5 linked regions of the Rattus norvegicus genome follow. The protein of the gene in region 1 interacts with the protein of each later gene in a pairwise test. Links are inferred from orthologs where the notes say so. Each region holds a gene or a part of one and is shown in the gene's direction. Other genes may lie near its edges. The genes, in order: Dmrtb1, Rbfox2, Exosc1, Qki and Pkp2.

What was found.
Region 2: the proteins of Dmrtb1 (region 1) and Rbfox2 interact in a two-hybrid assay, tested with the Homo sapiens proteins (3 studies listed by BioGRID). The link is inferred for Rattus norvegicus from reciprocal best matches to the Homo sapiens genes DMRTB1 and RBFOX2.
Region 3: the proteins of Dmrtb1 (region 1) and Exosc1 interact in a two-hybrid assay, tested with the Homo sapiens proteins (2 studies listed by BioGRID). The link is inferred for Rattus norvegicus from reciprocal best matches to the Homo sapiens genes DMRTB1 and EXOSC1.
Region 4: the proteins of Dmrtb1 (region 1) and Qki interact in a two-hybrid assay, tested with the Homo sapiens proteins (2 studies listed by BioGRID). The link is inferred for Rattus norvegicus from reciprocal best matches to the Homo sapiens genes DMRTB1 and QKI.
Region 5: the proteins of Dmrtb1 (region 1) and Pkp2 interact in a two-hybrid assay, tested with the Homo sapiens proteins (2 studies listed by BioGRID). The link is inferred for Rattus norvegicus from reciprocal best matches to the Homo sapiens genes DMRTB1 and PKP2.

What each region holds. Positions count from the first base shown.
Region 1 is NC_086023.1:127,675,678-127,678,251, reverse strand, and holds part of Dmrtb1 (doublesex- and mab-3-related transcription factor B1), read left to right. Parts: intron 1-658; coding exon 659-867; intron 868-1,806; coding exon 1,807-2,014; coding exon of another isoform or gene 2,015-2,133; exon of another isoform or gene 2,134-2,574.
Region 2 is NC_086025.1:110,746,397-110,749,915, reverse strand, and holds part of Rbfox2 (RNA binding protein fox-1 homolog 2), read left to right. Parts: intron 1-2,339; coding exon 2,340-2,564; intron 2,565-3,519. UniProt on the Homo sapiens protein: RNA-binding protein that regulates alternative splicing events by binding to 5'-UGCAUGU-3' elements. Prevents binding of U2AF2 to the 3'-splice site.
Region 3 is NC_086019.1:250,691,930-250,696,101, reverse strand, and holds the start of Exosc1 (exosome complex component CSL4), read left to right. Parts: upstream 1-1,353; 5' UTR 1,354-1,362; coding exon 1,363-1,393; intron 1,394-1,478; coding exon 1,479-1,594; intron 1,595-1,616; exon of another isoform or gene 1,617-1,771; intron 1,772-1,814; exon of another isoform or gene 1,815-2,780; intron 2,781-3,219; coding exon 3,220-3,294; intron 3,295-4,172. UniProt on the Homo sapiens protein: Non-catalytic component of the RNA exosome complex which has 3'->5' exoribonuclease activity and participates in a multitude of cellular RNA processing and degradation events.
Region 4 is NC_086019.1:53,036,420-53,039,938, forward strand, and holds part of Qki (KH domain-containing RNA-binding protein QKI), read left to right. Parts: intron 1-961; coding exon 962-1,261; intron 1,262-1,949; coding exon of another isoform or gene 1,950-1,993; exon of another isoform or gene 1,994-3,182; coding exon of another isoform or gene 3,183-3,186; exon of another isoform or gene 3,187-3,245; coding exon of another isoform or gene 3,246-3,329; exon of another isoform or gene 3,330-3,519. UniProt on the Homo sapiens protein: RNA reader protein, which recognizes and binds specific RNAs, thereby regulating RNA metabolic processes, such as pre-mRNA splicing, circular RNA (circRNA) formation, mRNA export, mRNA stability and/or translation.
Region 5 is NC_086029.1:98,165,902-98,169,420, reverse strand, and holds the end of Pkp2 (plakophilin-2), read left to right. Parts: intron 1-555; coding exon 556-643; intron 644-2,942; coding exon 2,943-3,011; 3' UTR 3,012-3,447; downstream 3,448-3,519. UniProt on the Homo sapiens protein: A component of desmosome cell-cell junctions which are required for positive regulation of cellular adhesion.

The sequences.
Region 1 (2,574 bases):
ACTGGGACTCTCACCAGTGTGCTAGTGCTGCTGTTAGTGTTATATGGCAGCTACTGCTAGACTTTTAAGTGGTTAAAGGGCGGCAGAGCAGCTGTTAAATGCCCAGCCCTAGGTGGGACGTCCGTCCCTTATCACCCTCTACCAGCTCCCAGGGGACATCATGGAGGGGAGAGGGAAGAACATCAGAGCCAGGAGAAGGGGCAGAGCGTGTCGAGCATAGCTTGTTCGTCCTACCCACCAGCTCACAGCAGCCTACTACTTGCATGGGACCCCCCCCCCCAAGGATCTGCAGGCAATTAATAGTTAATTAATAGAGCAAGGGGTAGACTCTTTATTCGGTGGTGTGACCACCCTTGTTCCTGAAAGTAACCTTAGCTAACCTTACTGGTTCACACACATACACAGAGAGGCATTAAGGTAGAAAGGGGACAAAGGGCAGAAAGGATCAACGACAAGGAGAGGAGATGCGAGGGCACTGGGTGAATGCAGCCAGAATACATTATCTGTGCATGCGTAAGAGTATAATGAAGCCCAGTGTACCTCTCGAGGCTTCTTTGGTCGGTTATGTCAATCTTGCTGTTGCCTGGGAGACAGCAGTGCAATGCTTTACCCCTCGGCTTTGTGTTCTTAACACTTCCCTCTCTGTTTATCTTCTTAGGGCATCCTCTGAGATTCAAGTCTGATCATGTGGTAGGAGCTGGGTACCCTGAGAGAGAGCCGTTCAAGCAGTGCCCTGCCTGCATCCCTGTGCCACCCTACCAGCCCTTCCCACTTTCGGAAGGCCAGGATTCATCCTCTGCTCTGGGGGTCCCTCAACAAAGAGGCTTTCGGCACGTCTCCTGCGGCCCCTATCATGGAAATAGCTTGGTAAGTTGGAGTCTGACTCCGGTCTAAGCTCGCCCTTATCCCAGCTGCCCTTATCACTTCCGCTGGCCCTCAGTCCCAGAGGACCGGTGGTCATAGACAGTATCTCTCGGAGTACACAGAGGTCTGCACCACTGGGCCTGGGCTGTGATGTCTGCTCCCCAGACTTGGAACCCAGGGAAGACTGTAGGCTTGATCCATGCAATGCAGCTGTCAGAGCGGCCTTCATTCTACTGAGCACCGACGCCACAGGGCTCGTGAATGAGGCCTGGGATTCAGCACACTTGGCTGATTGGTATGGATTCAGAGATGCCCGGCTTCAAGCCCAGGCGTTGTCTACTATCCCAAGTGTGTCTCAGACGTACACCAAATCTAGCTCTCAGCTCCCATGGCACCATTTCCTGCCCAGCCTGAAAGATGTGGCTGCTCCCGTCAGTGCCAGCCTGGCCTAGGCAGGAGCTTTGTTCTAAGGAGAGACTTGGTCGACAGCTTGGAATTCAAATGCTGACAATTCCCTCTTCCACGGTCACCACGTCTGGATTAAAACTAAGAGCCAGGAGACTATTTTCACTCACGTGCCCCTGCCCTCACCATCCCTGTCCCTGCCTATTTACTGCTATTGTGTGTGCTTCCTCTAGTCCCCTTTGCCCAAGAGAGTTGGACAAAGCCCAGAGAGAAAGCAATCTGCCTTCTTCCCAGCTCTGCACCCTGGAGAATTCTGCTCTCCCAAATCCCCTAGGGAAAGCCCCCAGGCTCAGCTAAGATATGCCTGCATTCCTGCTTGCCTGCGTTCATGCAGCCCGTGTCTGCTGAACGCCCTGTCCCAAGTGCCCTGCACAAGAAGGGTATCTACCACCCCAGGGACCCCCTGATAAATAAAAGATGTGACTGAGTTCAGCTCACTGTCTCCCTCTCTGCCCCTCCTTCTGTGTGTCCACACAGGTGTCAGAACCAGCCAGAGACCTGCAGCCAACCTACTGCTCACCCCCTCCCCCTCCACTACCACCTCCCCCACCCCAGCCACAGCAGCCCCACTTCCTCCCACCAGGCTACCTCTCTGCTCTCCACTTCCTGCCACCGCCACCACCGCCACCATCTCCACCGTCTTTCTCGCTGACCATCCTGTATGATACAGACAAGGAGAAAACCAGTAAGACAGGGATATTCTGGGTGATGGGGAGGACTGTAGGGGAGAGGTCACCTGAAGTGGGGGGTGGAGAGAGGGGCTGTGGGCTGAGCTCATTCCTCAGCCCTCCCCGTAGTCTATAAGTGTGAATCCATGGCGGTTAGAACAGGATTACTGAGGGCAAGGAGTGGGGGAGTATGCTCACGTTCATAGAGTGCTCAGTAAATGAGAGGCCCAGGACTTCTGGTCAGGAAGGAGCCTACAGCCACAGGAGGAGCCATGCCGGAGACCCCACTGTCGTCATCCTCCAAGTCCCTTGGACAGGAGCTAGAGAGTCTGCCTGGCAACTCTGCCACTGCTAATTGAGACACCTGAATAGGGAGCCTCAGGCTTCCCCCTCACAGGGTCAGCGGTCCTTTGAGATTTATGTACACTCTGTGACTTCTTTCTAATTTTTAAAAACATGGATATTTTCTTTTTGTGCATATGTATATGCATGTCTGTGTGTGGGAAGGTGAGCATGCATGTGTGTGAAGTCAGAGGATAGCCCTAGGTGCTACCTTTAGGAACATGGTCCATCTCCT
Region 2 (3,519 bases), on another chromosome or scaffold:
CCCAGCCCTGGTAGCAGTTGTTCCATGCTTTCTTCCTTTTAGCTCTAATGGGCCTCTTCATTCAGGTTCCCGGGTGAGAGCCTTCATACATCTTCTCACTGCTCACCTGTGCTTATGTATGTCTTATGTCTGTGGGTGCATACACAGATGTTCTTCTGTATATGTGAATGCATGTGGAGGTTGTAAGTTGACATACAGTGTCTTCTTCAGTTGCTTTCCACCTTAGTTTTGAGACAGGATCTCTAATGTAACCTGAAACTCATCTTTTGACAAGACTGACTGGCCAGCAATCCCAGGGATCCTCCTATCTCTGCCTATCCAGCCCCAAGCACTTCAGCATCTGAACTGTCTTCCCTGTGTTGGTTTTAGAAAGGCAGGCCAAGTTTGAAAGCCTACCTAAGCAAATGCCAGGGAATAAATATGTAAAATGCTTAAGAGCAAAACTTTTTAGCATCCTAGTTAAACTGGGGGATATTCTTTTAAGCACTTGTTTTATGATTGAGGGCTGTCTGATTGGGGTGCCTTAGGATCTGCAGCCCGCTGTTTAGATTATGTTTGTAAGTTGGAGTCAAGATTACCAAATGGAAAAATTAGAATGAAGTCAAAAAGGAATGGAAAGACAACAAAAAAATACCTTCTCTTTTCTTCATCACATGGACTTCACCCTAGAAAGACTAATAATTTACCTTTCCAGGCGCCTAGCCCAGAGTATAAAGCGTAGGGGCCAGAGATGCGCGACTTGATAAGAAAACTTGCTGATTGGTGCTGCTTAGTCTCTGTCAGCTTGACACAAACTAGAGTTACATGGGAAGAGGGGTCAACTAAGGAATTGCCTGTCAGGCTGACCTGGAAACATGGCTGTAGGCCAGTGTTTTATTAATGATTACAGTGGGAAAACCCAGCCTACTGTGGGCAGTGACACTCTGGGTAGGTGGTCCTGGGTTGTATAAGAAAGCAGGGCAGAGCAAGCCAGTAAGTAATGCTCCTCCATCAATTCCTGCCTCCATCAGGAGCTCACAATACCTACTCCAGCTCCTGAATGTTTGGTGCCGTCTTCTGGCTTCTGCAAGGACATAACAGATGTATACATATACATACATTTTAAAAATAATACAAATATTTTAAAAGCATTTCACATATGTAGAGGTAATCATATCAATTATGATAAGTTGGCTGGAAGCCATTGTATTTCCCTTTCAACTTAAAACTTTGACATGTGGACTGAAAATTGATTTGAACACATTCTTAAATTGTTTTTATTATTATGAATGTTAATGACTTCATATTTCTAATAGAAACAATAATTATAATATATTTGGTAGAGTAAATGCTATAAAACATTGTCCCCAGTCTGTTCTCTTAGCATATAGACAGCTATTTAAGTCTTGCTATTAGCCACATTTCTCTAAGTAAAATGAAATCCTGACACACACATACACACACACACACACACACACACACACACACACACACACACACCCAATGGAACCCTCACAGAAGACAGAGTCTGACTGTGGTTGCATCTCTGTGGTGCTTAGACTATGGGTATACACTAAAAGCATTACCTTCTCCTGATCCCCACCACTAGCTGATGTGTTTATTCAGCTAGCTGAGCCAGCTCTGGCAGAAATAGCCCCACAGGATGATTCATGCTGTATACTTGTGTACCAGAGTCTCACTCCCATCAGGGATGGGGTGAAAAATGGAGGTTAGAGTTCAAGAAGAGCAGTGTCAGAGCCAGAGGCAAGTCCTTTGCTTGCTAATCTGAACCTGGAAGCTGTGTCTTTAAACCTTTGTATGTCTCTTCATAGACCCTTTCTGGAGATTTCTGAAAGGTGATCGATCCTTAGGCTCTGCTCATCTATTAGTCTGCCTGAATTTGAATTTTTGTCTGTTGCACGCCTGTCTTCGTATTAATCAATCCTCTAATGGCCTTGGAAGCAGGATGTCCTGCCAACTATGGGTATAGGCAGAACACCAAATGAGATGGAAGAGATGATTAAATATTAAACTCTTGGCTATCAAGGTGGCTCAGCAGGTAAAGGTACTTATCACCAAATCTGAGTTTGATCCCAGGGACTCGTGTTGAAAGAGGATGTGGAATCAAGTTGCCCTCCTACCTCCACACTACTGTACCATAATTCTCACAAGCAAAACACACATAAAATTAAGTTAATCAGTTGATTTTTTTTTTTTTTAAAGAATGATGATCCCAGCAGTTTTTTTCTGAGTGGGGGACAGTGAGAGAACATGCCAAAAGACCTGTGTTCTTACCTTGAAAGTCATTTTATGATAAAGATTTATTCACTCACTCCTTTCTCTTCTGTTGCTTGCTCTAGGGTAACCAGGAGCCAACAACAACTCCTGACGCAATGGTTCAGCCTTTTACTACCATCCCATTCCCACCACCTCCACAGAACGGAATTCCCACAGAATATGGAGTGCCACACACTCAGGACTATGCCGGCCAGACCAGTGAACATAACCTGACACTCTACGGGAGTTCACAGCCCCATGGAGAACAGAGTAGCAATTCACCCAGCAACCAGAATGGATCTCTCACGGTATGTGAAGTCGGAGACGCAAGGTGAAATGTTCACCTTCTCAGAAGACAGACAGAAAGCCTTGAGTTAGTTTAGCCTTGCTATGCGTTGCCCAGCGTGCATGTGCTGACTGTTCTTTCCTAAGCTGCACAGTGCAGAGTTTGAACTAAGCCTCACCACTGCTGCCTGGAAGCAACCTTCCTGCACCCTCCATTGTATGAATCCGCACCCAGCCTCATCTGCACAGTCTCACAGGCTGCCTCACACAGCCTCCTCCTTGCTCCTTGGCGCTCTAGGCCATTTAAATGACTTGTACTTCCCTCCTGGTTTTCCTACTCAGCAACGGGTGTTGTGATGCTTCCTTCTCCTCTTGTTCAAATTTCAGATGTGGCAGCGTTCTGAGTGCCTTCTCTGCATCCTTACCCCACCAACTCACTCTTTACTTAAGCCAAAGCCAGGTGTCACCGATCCTCACTCTTCATGTCTACCCTCAGTCATGAAGGACGTTAGCAAGCGCAGTTCCACAGTGGTGCAAAGTACAGTAGTGCTCAGTTCTCCCCGGCGGAGGGCAGAGGGCGGAGGGCGGAGGGCGGAGGGCGGAGCTCTTCTGCTAGCCGCTTGGGGTTGATTCAGCTGACTAGAGATTAAATCACAGCCTGGCCTCAGAAGAATGAGTTTAGGCAAGTTATTTAATGTTCCTTTGCCTTGAAATAGAAGAAAAGGAAGGTCATAATGCCTACCTCAAAAGCTGTCAAGAACATTCTCATGAACTTGGTGGCACAGGCTTGTATCTTTGCAACCCAGGAGTCTGAGGCAGGTGGGTTGCCATAATTTAAGGTGTACTGGAGCTACAAAGAGAATTCAAAGCCAGCCATGATTCATTAACAAGATCCTGTCTGAAACTTACAAGTATAAAGGGTGCTGGACATGCACACTGCACTCTCAAGCTGCCACTGCCTCTGTTTTCTCAAGCACA
Region 3 (4,172 bases), on another chromosome or scaffold:
TGCTGATCAAACTCCAGTGAACAAAGAATGGGTCCAGGACCCCCCCCCCCCAGCCTAGTGGGATATGAGGAGAAGGAGGAGACTAGAAAAAGATGTAATAAATGGACCACAAGTGAAAAGGTTTTACCTTGGGAAACAGAGAAAAAAAACAAAGTCTTTAAATCTAAATGTGGTGAGAAGTCATGGATGACCTGAATGAACAGAGGAGGGATAAGCCAGCATAGTTCCTCCAAACCCCAAGTCCTGCCACCTCTCAGTAGAATCCACAGAGTACAGTGGCCATCTGCCACCAGAGTAGAGATTAGCAGGCAACAGCACTCCCCTAAATCACCATCTGTATCTCAAAGAAGCCTGACTGACAGGGAGGGAAGGGGAGATAGGAATAAATTCCAGAGCCAAGAGATGAAACTGAGATCAAGTCACGGCAAATTTCATCTGGACACAGCTGCTGCTCCCGTGACCTTTGCCATATCAAGCTGATGTCAAGAAAGCATAATATTCTATTAATGAAGTTGTCTTTCCCGGCTAACATGCTAAAATGGAAGAATGCAAAAGGAATGGTATGTTAACGTCAAGCTGCCCATTCATAGTTAAGGAGCTCACGCTCTAGAGTATCTGCCTGCAAGAGAAGAAACTGTCGTTTTACAAAGCTTAAAAAAAAAAAAAAAAAAAAAAAAAAAAAAAAAGGTTGTGTCTCCAGGTGCAGCAGGGTCCAATTATGATAGGCTCAGGTCAAAAAAAAAAAAAGAAAAAGAAAAAAGGCTTAAGCTTAGTCTGTCTCGAACTATCTACGACACTTTGTACAAACCAAACCTTGTCTCTGGATCTGAGTCTCCAAACTCGTGAAATGGGCGAGTTGGGACTGAGGATGAGTTGGGACAGCCACGCAGGGCAGGGCGCAGAGAGTCCAGGAACTTGAACTTAAGGGCCTGGACACCCGAGACTCGGATGGGGACAAGAACCGCGCCTTCACTCTTACCTGCCTCCTGCCAGCTTCTCAATCAGCTAGATTAGGCCAAGTCTCCCTGTCAGCCACTCACTGCCTCCCCTTCCAGCTCGGGACCCAGGCCGGGCCGAGCTAAGGCTAACCCACCATGGCCCTGAGCCCGCAGCGCCAGCCAGCGGACCGAGACCCGCGGACAGCCCATCACCACCCAGCTGCGCAGGCGCGAGTCTCAGAGCCCGCAAAGTCACGCCCAGAACTCTGTCCCGGGGCAGCCTGGGAAATGGAGTCAGGCTTCGCTCTTACGCCTTGCGCGGTCGAAAGCGCCAATTGGTGCACGCGTAACTGCGAGGCCGCTCCTCTAGTTGACCAATAAGAAGTCGTCTTGGTTCTCATCCGGGTTGTGGACGGTGGCAAGCATGGCACCACCTGTGAGGTACTGCATCCCGGGTAAGTGAGCGGTCTCCGCAGGCAGACCCTGGCTGCGGGCAGCCAGTTTCTGGGAGCTCGTAGCTGAGGCACATGTCTTCTGCAGGCGAACGTCTGTGTAACTTGGAGGAAGGCAGCCCGGGCAGCGGCACCTACACCCGGCACGGCTACATCTTTTCGTCGCTGGCTGGCTGCCTGACGAAGACCAGCGAGAATGGCGCGGTAAAGAAAGCGGCTAGCCAACGAGCGTCACCTCTCAGGCTGCCATCGAGTTCTGGTCCTTGGGCACAGGCACTACCGGGAGGACCTGTCTTTGGTGTCTCAGAGCTTTGGTCTCCCAGCTTCTCCCAGCTCTGATCCCAGCGCTGTGCTAAAACACACCTGCTGCACACCATTTAGGTTGGGCTGGCTTAGTTGTGTAGAGACACTCACAGAAGGAGGTGGAGGGGAAAAGCACGCAAATTTGAGAATAGCCCGGCCAGCCGAGAGCTTCTTCCCGTCATGCATCTCGACTACCTCCGCTTTCTTGTGGCTCTTGTGTCCCACTTCACTGACATCAATGTAGTAATGCTGGAGATTTTCAGTGTCTTAGTGAACTAAACTCTGTTTCGAAGCCTATGCAATGCATGTACTTGTCTGTCTGGAACACACTTCTGCTCAATCCCTTTTGTTTTTTGTTTGTATGTATGGCTTTCCCAGAGAAGCCCTTCTGGACCTGCTGACTGAGAAAATGGGGGTTTTAGTGGCAGTAGGATTGTTGTGCCCAAGAACCTTCCCTGGAGCACTTATTTAAATATGTTACTCATGATAACTAGATTCTTGCCCAAGTAGAAGTTTAAGTGTAGCCATGCATGGTGATACACGAGTGTATTCCCAGCTTCTAACTGACTCAGATAAAGCAGTGGTTGACATTTGTAAGACTATAAAAACTAAGAATTAAACCTCCTCAGGCTGGGCTTGTGGCTCATCAGCACAGCGTTTGCCTAGCTTGGGACCTGGGGAAAAACACACCCTCTTTAGAGACTGGCAAAACCCAAACTTCCCACTTTGTGTTGTACTTATTTGTAAAAAAAATGGGCTCCAGTCTATTGGTTTTGGAGATAAAACTCAGCCTGTCAGTCTACTCACTACATAGATGTCCTGCCCAGTGGTGCCCTTAGTTGCTACTGGGGATAGAGTCCTGAGCCCAATACACTTAGCTTTTGTTACCAGGGAGACAGACACAAACCATGAGCAAATGCACAAACATATCTTCAAAAGAAGTGTGCGGAACAGTGAGAACATGTAACGGGCTGCATGAATTCTAGATAGTGACAATAATATTTCGGCACCTGAAGATAAGGAGAGGTGGAGGAGTGTGGAAAGAATGGATTAGACAGACAACGTGAAATGGGAGGGACTTAGTAAGGTAAGGAAACAGCACAGAGCAAGAGAGGTAAGATAATACACCAGTTGCCATTGGAGTAAAACAAGAGTTGCCATTCTATAGCATTTAATTGCAAATCCTGAAGTAAAAAAAAAAAAAGTTATAGCTTGAAGAAAGAGTCAGGATATTCATAATTATAAGCAATAGGATTTGTACCAGGAAATCCCAAGAGAGTCTTCAGTCATTTACAACTAATCAGAATGATCACATTAAACCTGGCAGCCTAGTTCTAATGGCCTCTGATCCTCTTTATTTCCTAAAATGACTAATGTCCTCTGCTATGGGCTATAAATGAATCTACAGGCTGCCTGCCCTTGTGACCTCGGCTGTTGTAAGATACCCCTGTATTATCCTCAGCCTTCAGTTCTCTTTACCCAGGGCTTACTTAGCCAGTACACTAACCTTCGTATTCTCTCCACAGCTTCCCGTGGTATCAGTAATGAGAGAGACAGAGTCCCAGTTACTTCCAGATGTGGGAGCTGTCGTCACCTGTAAGGTAAGCCGGTCCTAGTCATGATTAGGCCGAGATCCTACAACTGCCGTGGTCCGCTGCTTAATACAGTAGTCCCTAGCTAGAGAAGGGTGTTTTAAGTTTATTACTGCTAGAAGGTCAATCTCAGGGATGGATGTGTTGACTCAGCCTTTAATCCCAGTACTCAGGAGGCATAGGCAGGTGAATACTTGAGGACAGCCTGGTCTATGCAGAGAGTTCCAGGACACCCAGGGCTTCATAGAGAAACCCTGTCTCAAAAAGAAAGAAAAGAATGAAAAATTTATTTTTAGCCAGGCTAAAATATAAAATATCTGTGGTCTCGGTATTTGGATGCTGTTTAGAATTATTGAACAGTAGTCCAAGACCAGAATAGGCTACAGAGTGAGATCCTGCACCCCACAATCCCAACACTATTCACATTTTAAGTACTCGGTAGCAAATTGTGGTTAGTGGCTGCCATACTGGTTGACATATGACTTTAGTTTGGGGGGTGTGGGAAAGTGATGGACTCCCCAGAAGTACGTCTTCAGTTCTAGGAAATGATTGGTTTTGTTTTACCTCATGTGAATAGTTATCTTGTCTGTATCATATGCGTGCCTGCTACCACAAAGCCTAGAAAGGTGTGTCGCACCCCCTGGGACTAGAGGCACAGATAATTATAGGCCACCATATGGGTGCTAGGAATGGAATCCAGGTCCTCTAGAAGAGCAGCCGGTGCGCTTAGCTGCTGAGCCATCTGTCCAGCCCCAGGAAATCACATTTCTGTCATCACAGAAATTTTTGCTGGCAGGGCATAGGTGCACGCTCCTCCAATGGTGCTTGGGAGGCGGGGAATCTCAAAGGGGAGCTAGGCTGCAAGGTAACCCTCTGTCCCAAAGACG
Region 4 (3,519 bases), on another chromosome or scaffold:
TGTGTGTGTGTGTGTCTGTGTGTGTGACATTAGTCAAAGGACAAACTTTTGAAAGTTTTTTTTATTTGAAGTGTAATGAAATGGCCCTGCTGCTGCTCTGGTCTTTCCTTTCCCCTGCTTGCATGTTTGCACTCGTGTTGTTCGCTATTAAAAGTTCCTATGCAAGTTCAGAGATCACTGAGGGAGAATGTTTCAAACTACGTTCTCCCTTTCATGGATTGTGGCATAATTTTATAAGCTGTGTGAGAGAATAGTTGCTGTTTTGAGTTGAGCTACGGTTTACATGTCATTTATTTGAACATATTTTGAGCAAGCACACACACACACACACGAATAATTTTAAACTTATAATCAAATTTCCCAAGATAGGCAGCACTGAGTTCAGCAGTGCTTGCTGTGGTTGGCTCTGATGTACTCTTTATCGTCATGGAGTTAGCAGTAGGGCTGTTTCTGCATTCTCTTCCTCACGCAGCAATCCCTAGCATGCTGGGAACACATGATGTCAGTGTTGACTTACCTGACTTATCCAGGGAGCTTTCCTTGAACAGAGTTGTACTTTGGAGATACAGTGTGTGGACTCAACTCCTGCTACTTTGTTGCATCTTTTAATTGGAATGTTCTCTTGTGGGGTTTTTTGGATGCAGTTTAGTCTCTCAAAATGTTGTAAATGGATATATCAGCAGAGATAGGAAAAGTATAACATTTAATGGACTTGATCTTTTTTTGATTTTTACAGTGGGTTTTTATTTTTGCATTTGTTGATCATGTTGGGGAGAGGAAGCTGACTGCACTTGGTTGATGTGCTTTGGCATTTCCGTGTGGTCAATGCATGTACTAATGATTTCCTTTTATTTTTCTTCTTTTCTGCTTTTTCCTTTCTTTTTCCTACTTCCCTCTCATTTCCTCATGTTTTATTACTGCTATCCCTATACTTCTTTCTAAATTTCTTTGCTTACTGTAGCAGCCCTTGCCTTTTCTCTTGCAGCAACTGCCCAGGCTGCTCCAAGGATCATCACTGGGCCCGCGCCTGTCCTCCCACCAGCTGCTCTGCGTACACCCACGCCAGCTGGCCCTACCATAATGCCTTTGATCAGACAGATTCAGACCGCTGTCATGCCAAACGGAACTCCTCACCCAACTGCTGCAATAGTCCCTCCAGGGCCTGAAGCTGGGTTAATCTACACACCCTATGAGTACCCCTACACGTTGGCACCAGCTACGTCAATCCTTGAGTACCCCATTGAACCCAGCGGTGTGTTAGGTGAGTATGATTTCTGTCCTGAGTGATTAATGCATTCCTAAATTTTGGCACCGCAGACTTTGAAAGGATATTTATCAATTTCAGAAAGACATTGTAAGTTTTAATTAGCAAAAGTTGAAAACTAAATAGGTTTTATTTCAGTTCCTCACTAGGGTTCTCCCCATTAAGTAGCGACACCTTAATTTGGGTTAATTTCCTTTAGTGTCTCAGGATCACTGTAGGGAAACTGGCCATGCATAGTCTCAGTGAGATGTTTCTTAGGTGACTAAACTTGTTCCTGAGTTTTATTTAGGTCATTTTTGCCCCATTATCCTAATTGACAAAGTTCTACCTCCCAAAATGAGGTTTATTTTGTCTCAGATTGCTTGGTGAATTTTAAAATTCTATCAATATATTGATATTTTTATTAAAAGTCTGTTATTTGTATGTGTTTAAATATTTATGATCACCTGAAGGATGCAGTTGATAGTTGTAGTTTTAAGGGTTTTCAGCTTATATCTTTTAAAGTCCTGGTCAACATGACCAGTATTTTATAATTTCCATATGACTGTGGATTAGATGATCACATACCAACTTAGTAAATTCAATCATGTTGGAGGCAAAAATTGAAGTCATATAAATTCATGCGTTTACATGATCAAAAAGCAATATTCTTGAAAAAGACATTACTGATGCCTTTTTTTTATAGAGTGGATTGAAATGCCAGTCATGCCTGATATTTCAGCCCATTGAGTTGCTGGATGAAGGACTAGAATACAGCAGCTGTTATAACACGACCAGTCAATGTGGAAAACAAAACAAAAAAACAAAACAAAAAAAAATGTTTCTGTGCAACCCCACTGTTTTACCAGACAGAATCTGAAACCTTTTTGTGTATGACCTTGGTGCTGTGTGCCTGCTGTTGACTCCTAGGACTTTGATCTTTAAAGGTTCCCTCCTGATCCCGGCTTAATATTAATTTGAAAATCTTTAATGAACTTGGACATTGAGATTTAAACTTGAAAATTCATTGTTCATTTAAAGAAAGCCACAATGCTCTGTATGTTATCTGTGTGTGTGCATGCACTTAGGTGCCTTTTGTTTATAAACATACATTTTATTGTACATGTTTTCTGTCTAAATCATTGTATAAAATAATTATAAGTCAGAATTATACCACAGAAATGTTAGTAAGAGGCTGTGTTCTGTTGCACATTACTTGAAGCATTTTTAAAAAAAAAAATAACATGTAACCTATAACCTTATTTAAGTTTTCCTTTCTATTAATACTCTGTCCTGTGGCCCTGTGCATGCTCCTTCCCCAGAACTCCTCTCTGCTGCACTCACAGCATCTGTTACTGAGGAGTTAGGGCTCTCAGCTTCCAGCTGCTGCTCCTGACTGTTAGTGCAAGAGCTCCTAGTTTTGCAAGATAGAATTACATTTCTATGCAGTCTGCTTATCTAAAATGAAAAATAGGTTTTCAACCAGTTTACTGCTTAGAGACAGCAAGAGGCACTGCTGTAGAATTTCCCCATTGTAAAGCAACATGTTGTTTGGTTTGGTAAGAATGTATGTGTATATGTGTGTGTGTATACACACACACAGACACACACACACACACACTTGAAACCAACACTATTAAGAGCAAAATACATATGCAGATACCCAATTAACATTGTCAAGGTTCTCAATAAGTACCAAGTAAGAAATTATTATTATTATTATTATTATTATTATTATTATTATTTCTTGCTTTGCCACCTAAGCAGTAAAACTATGATATTTCTCTTTGGAGAACTGAGGAAATTATTTTAAATTCCCAAGTTATAGTATATTTGCACACAGATAACATGCATGTTATGTGTCAAATCTCACATTATTTTAAAATAAGCAGTGCCCTTCAAAACAGATGCAGACATATGTGTTGGTGGTAGTGAGGAGATTGGTATTAGCATCAAATCTTCATTGATGACTAATGTTTAATTCCCTTCCTTTTATCTTTAGGTATGGCTTTCCCAACGAAAGGCTAAGAATTCAAGAACGGTCTTAACCGAACCCTCATCAGATCTGAATTTAACCAATGCTTAGTCTCAGCAGCCTCCGGGACAAACCTTAGCCTAGCAGTCAGTGACTTACTTGCACTTTTTGCACATAGACATAAAGTAAAATGATGCTATTAATTTGGATTAGTCTGTAATACTACAAAGCAACGGTAATTTATAAAGGAGTGTATAGAAGTATACTGACTGCTAAGTGTACTGTACTGTTTGCTTTACTA
Region 5 (3,519 bases), on another chromosome or scaffold:
CACAAGAGTATATGTATTGACTTGAAAAGACTGTTTTCTGCCTGTATCGATAGGGCCTTTTTAGTCTCAGAGGCACACACATTTTCAGTTGTTTTTCTGTGTCGCAATCTGTAAATATGTATTATAACTATATAAATGTAAGGGTCTACAAGTAATTAATGGCTTAAAAATGTATATAAATAAAAAAACAAAAAAAAAACAAAAAGAAAAAGAAAAGGGGTTGGGGATTTAGCTCAGTGGTAGAGCGCTTGCCTAGGAAGCGCAAGGCCCTGGGTTCGGTCCCCAGCTCCGAAAAAGAACCAAAAAAAAAAAAAAAGTATATAAATACCATGGATTTTTCCTTTATAGATTATTTATTTATTAGCACTACCTTTGTGATATATATATATACATATATATATATATATATACATATATATATATAATTTAAAAGCTTCCTGAAAAGTGAGCTTGAGGCAACTGTTAAAGCCACACTGAGCAGAGAGTTGAGAAACGTGAATGAAATGGCTAAAACTGCACATTCTCACTGACCCAGACACATCTCTGTCCTTTCAGCTATGCCCCCAACAAGGCCAGCAAAGCTGCCTCTGTCCTCCTGTACTCTCTGTGGGCACACACCGAGCTCCATAATGCCTACAAGAAGGTAAGAACACTGACCAGCTAAAACCTGACCCCTCGTGAGAAATCAGCAAATTGCTCTTCCTCCTCTTCATCATCATCCTCTTCCTCTTCTTCCTTCTTTGTTTCTTGAACATGTTTTTGTTGTTTTGTTTTGTTTTTTGAGAATTTCATACATGAGCACAGTATCTGCAACACTTCTACCTCTTCCTCCCCTTCTGGTTCCTCTCTTGCAAATTCAGGTTCTCTTCTTTAAGTATTATTGTTACATGTATATACATATGTGCATGAATACGTGTGTGTGTGTGTGTGTGTGTGTGTGTGTGTGTGTCTGTGTGTGTGTACTCGAGCGTATATGGAACCCACTGAGTCTACTCAGCTTTGCTCATGTCCACAGTTGACAACCTGTGTAGGAGTTCATCCCTGGGAACGATTGGTTCTCCCTCTCCCTTGATCCCTGTGGCTCTTCATCTAGAAGGGCGATGTGAATTTCCTTTGTCCACATTGATATGTCAACTGGTAGTGCCAGTTTGCTGGTTGTGTTCAAATGATTATATTATTGAAAGTTCATGGATCCATTTCCCCTGCCATATCTAGGGGACACGATACAGTCTAGCAACCTCTGGCTCATAGGATCTTTCTATCCTTTCTTCCATGATTCTCCCTGGGCTCTAGGTAGAGGGTTGCATCACAGATGCACCACTTGTAGCAGGGCACTGCATGGTCCCATACTCTCTACATTTTGATCCGTTGTAGATATCCGTAATAGTTTCTGTATGTTGCAAAAGGAAGCTTCTTTGGTGATGAGTGAGAGCTACACTTCTTTTTGTGGCTCTAAGGAAAAGTAATTAGAATACAAATTAGAAATTATACTGATTTAGGATATGGCAGTAGTAGACTAATTTTGGGGATATGACCTCTCTAGGGTTTACAGTACCAAACAGTATTTCCCTACAGTGAGTGGTCAGAAACCCAATTAGACAGTTGTTAATCACCTCCCAGACAGAACCACCACGATTTGAGCGTATCTTGTCGGTCCAATCCTTGTTGTGGTACACAGGCTTTACAGGGAACGACGACTACTGATTGATCATCCTCTCCCTTGGCAACTACTGATATGTGAGAGCCACTCCTTAAGAAGGAGGCTTCCAGGTCAGTTCCAGCTCGCTTCCTCCAAGTCCTCTGTGCACAGTGTGTGGCGTCTTCAGCAGTAGGAATTTACCTTCAAGTTCTAGGAGGCAACACAGGAAATAGTAATGGCTTATGTTGCTTTGGGAGTCTTATGGTCTCCCTTGACCAGCAAAGAAGAAGAGGGTTTCTCATGTGTAGTACCAGAGGTTTTGTTAGATAGTCCATGGCTTTTTAGGGAAACATTATCACCCCAAGTGGTATAACGTCATTAAGCTCTATATCCATGTATACACATATATGTAATTTTAAATAAACATAAAATAATTTGCTATGCTTTTTCAAACGTTCTTAGTGTTCCTTATCCTTCCTCCTTCCCTTTTTGTCTGTATCACCCCCCCAAATCTCCAATTAATATGTTCCCATCTTTTCCATTTCCACCTTCCTATCACCTGTGTCTTGTCATTCAAGAACTTTCCCTCACTCCATGACCCCACCTTTCCTTTATTGCCCCGTAGCCCAACCTTTGCCTCACTCTGGCCCAACTTCGATCCCCCTTTTCTCCTTCTGGCTTCTGCAGATACTCCAGGCTTCCATATGAAGATTAAGAGCTAGAGCCGTAAAATAAGAGAGAACATGTGACTTGATTCTCTGGGTCTGGATCACCTCTCTCAGTAAAATATGTTTTAGTTTCATCCCTGTACCTGAAAATTATATGCCTTTATTTTTCTTCACAGGTGAATAGAGTTTCGATGTGTACATGTACTGCATTTTTATCATCCAGTCATCAACTGAAGGGCATTTAGGTTGTTTCAAGAAAGTATTTCAACAGTATTTGAGATTTCCTCTTTCCCCATCAGAATGCTAAGATTAAGAGTGAAAAGAGTAGGTAAGGATTATGGGAAAGCAGCAACCTCATTCACTGTTGGGACTGCACACTGTTGCAGCCATTCTGGAAATCAGTATGGATTTTTCACTCTCAGAGAGTGAAAAATAAATCACTATATGACCAGCTCTATGACTCCTTGACGTATGTCCTCAGGACATTGTGTGAGACAGACGCCTGTTCACTGCTGCCCTGTTCACAACAGCCAGAAAATGCAAACAACCTAAATATCCTTCAATTGACAAGTGGATGAGGCATTTTCTTATGTGAGAATTTTTATATTTTCTATTTTTGTCTGCTTCTTCTAAAGGCTCAGTTTAAGAAGACGGACTTCGTCAACAGCCGGACTGCCAAGGCCTCCCACTCCCTTAAAGACTAATAAGGAGAAGACGACTCAGGAACTCCAGCTTCACAATTCTCCACTGAAAAAATAAAACAAAAAACAAAAAACAAAAAAAAAATCCCCAAAGAAAACACCTATTTTTCTACTAACTGACCCAAGAAACCTCAAAAAGCATGCTTTGTTTATACTCTTTTCTATTTTCATCCCCCAAATCTAGTAACGAATATCTGAATATGATTTTGTTAGACATCCTGGAGACTTGCCAGGTCGCACCAGTGTGGAATCCGTGTTCCCTGTGCAGATGATGGGCATCAGTATCCAGGCTTATGTACACCCATGTGGGTGCTCATCGGAGGAATCTGAGGAAGCCTAGTCACTTGTCTGCATGTCACCTCCTTAGTGAGCCAGAGGTGTGTGTGCACCAGTGCTGCACAGGACCCAAGTGCAGGAATAAAGCTTTGATGGCAGATCACTTCCTCTGTGATTGTTCTTGGCCCTGCTGCATTGCCGTTCTTGGCTTTGCCTTTTCTTTCTCTAGCATAAA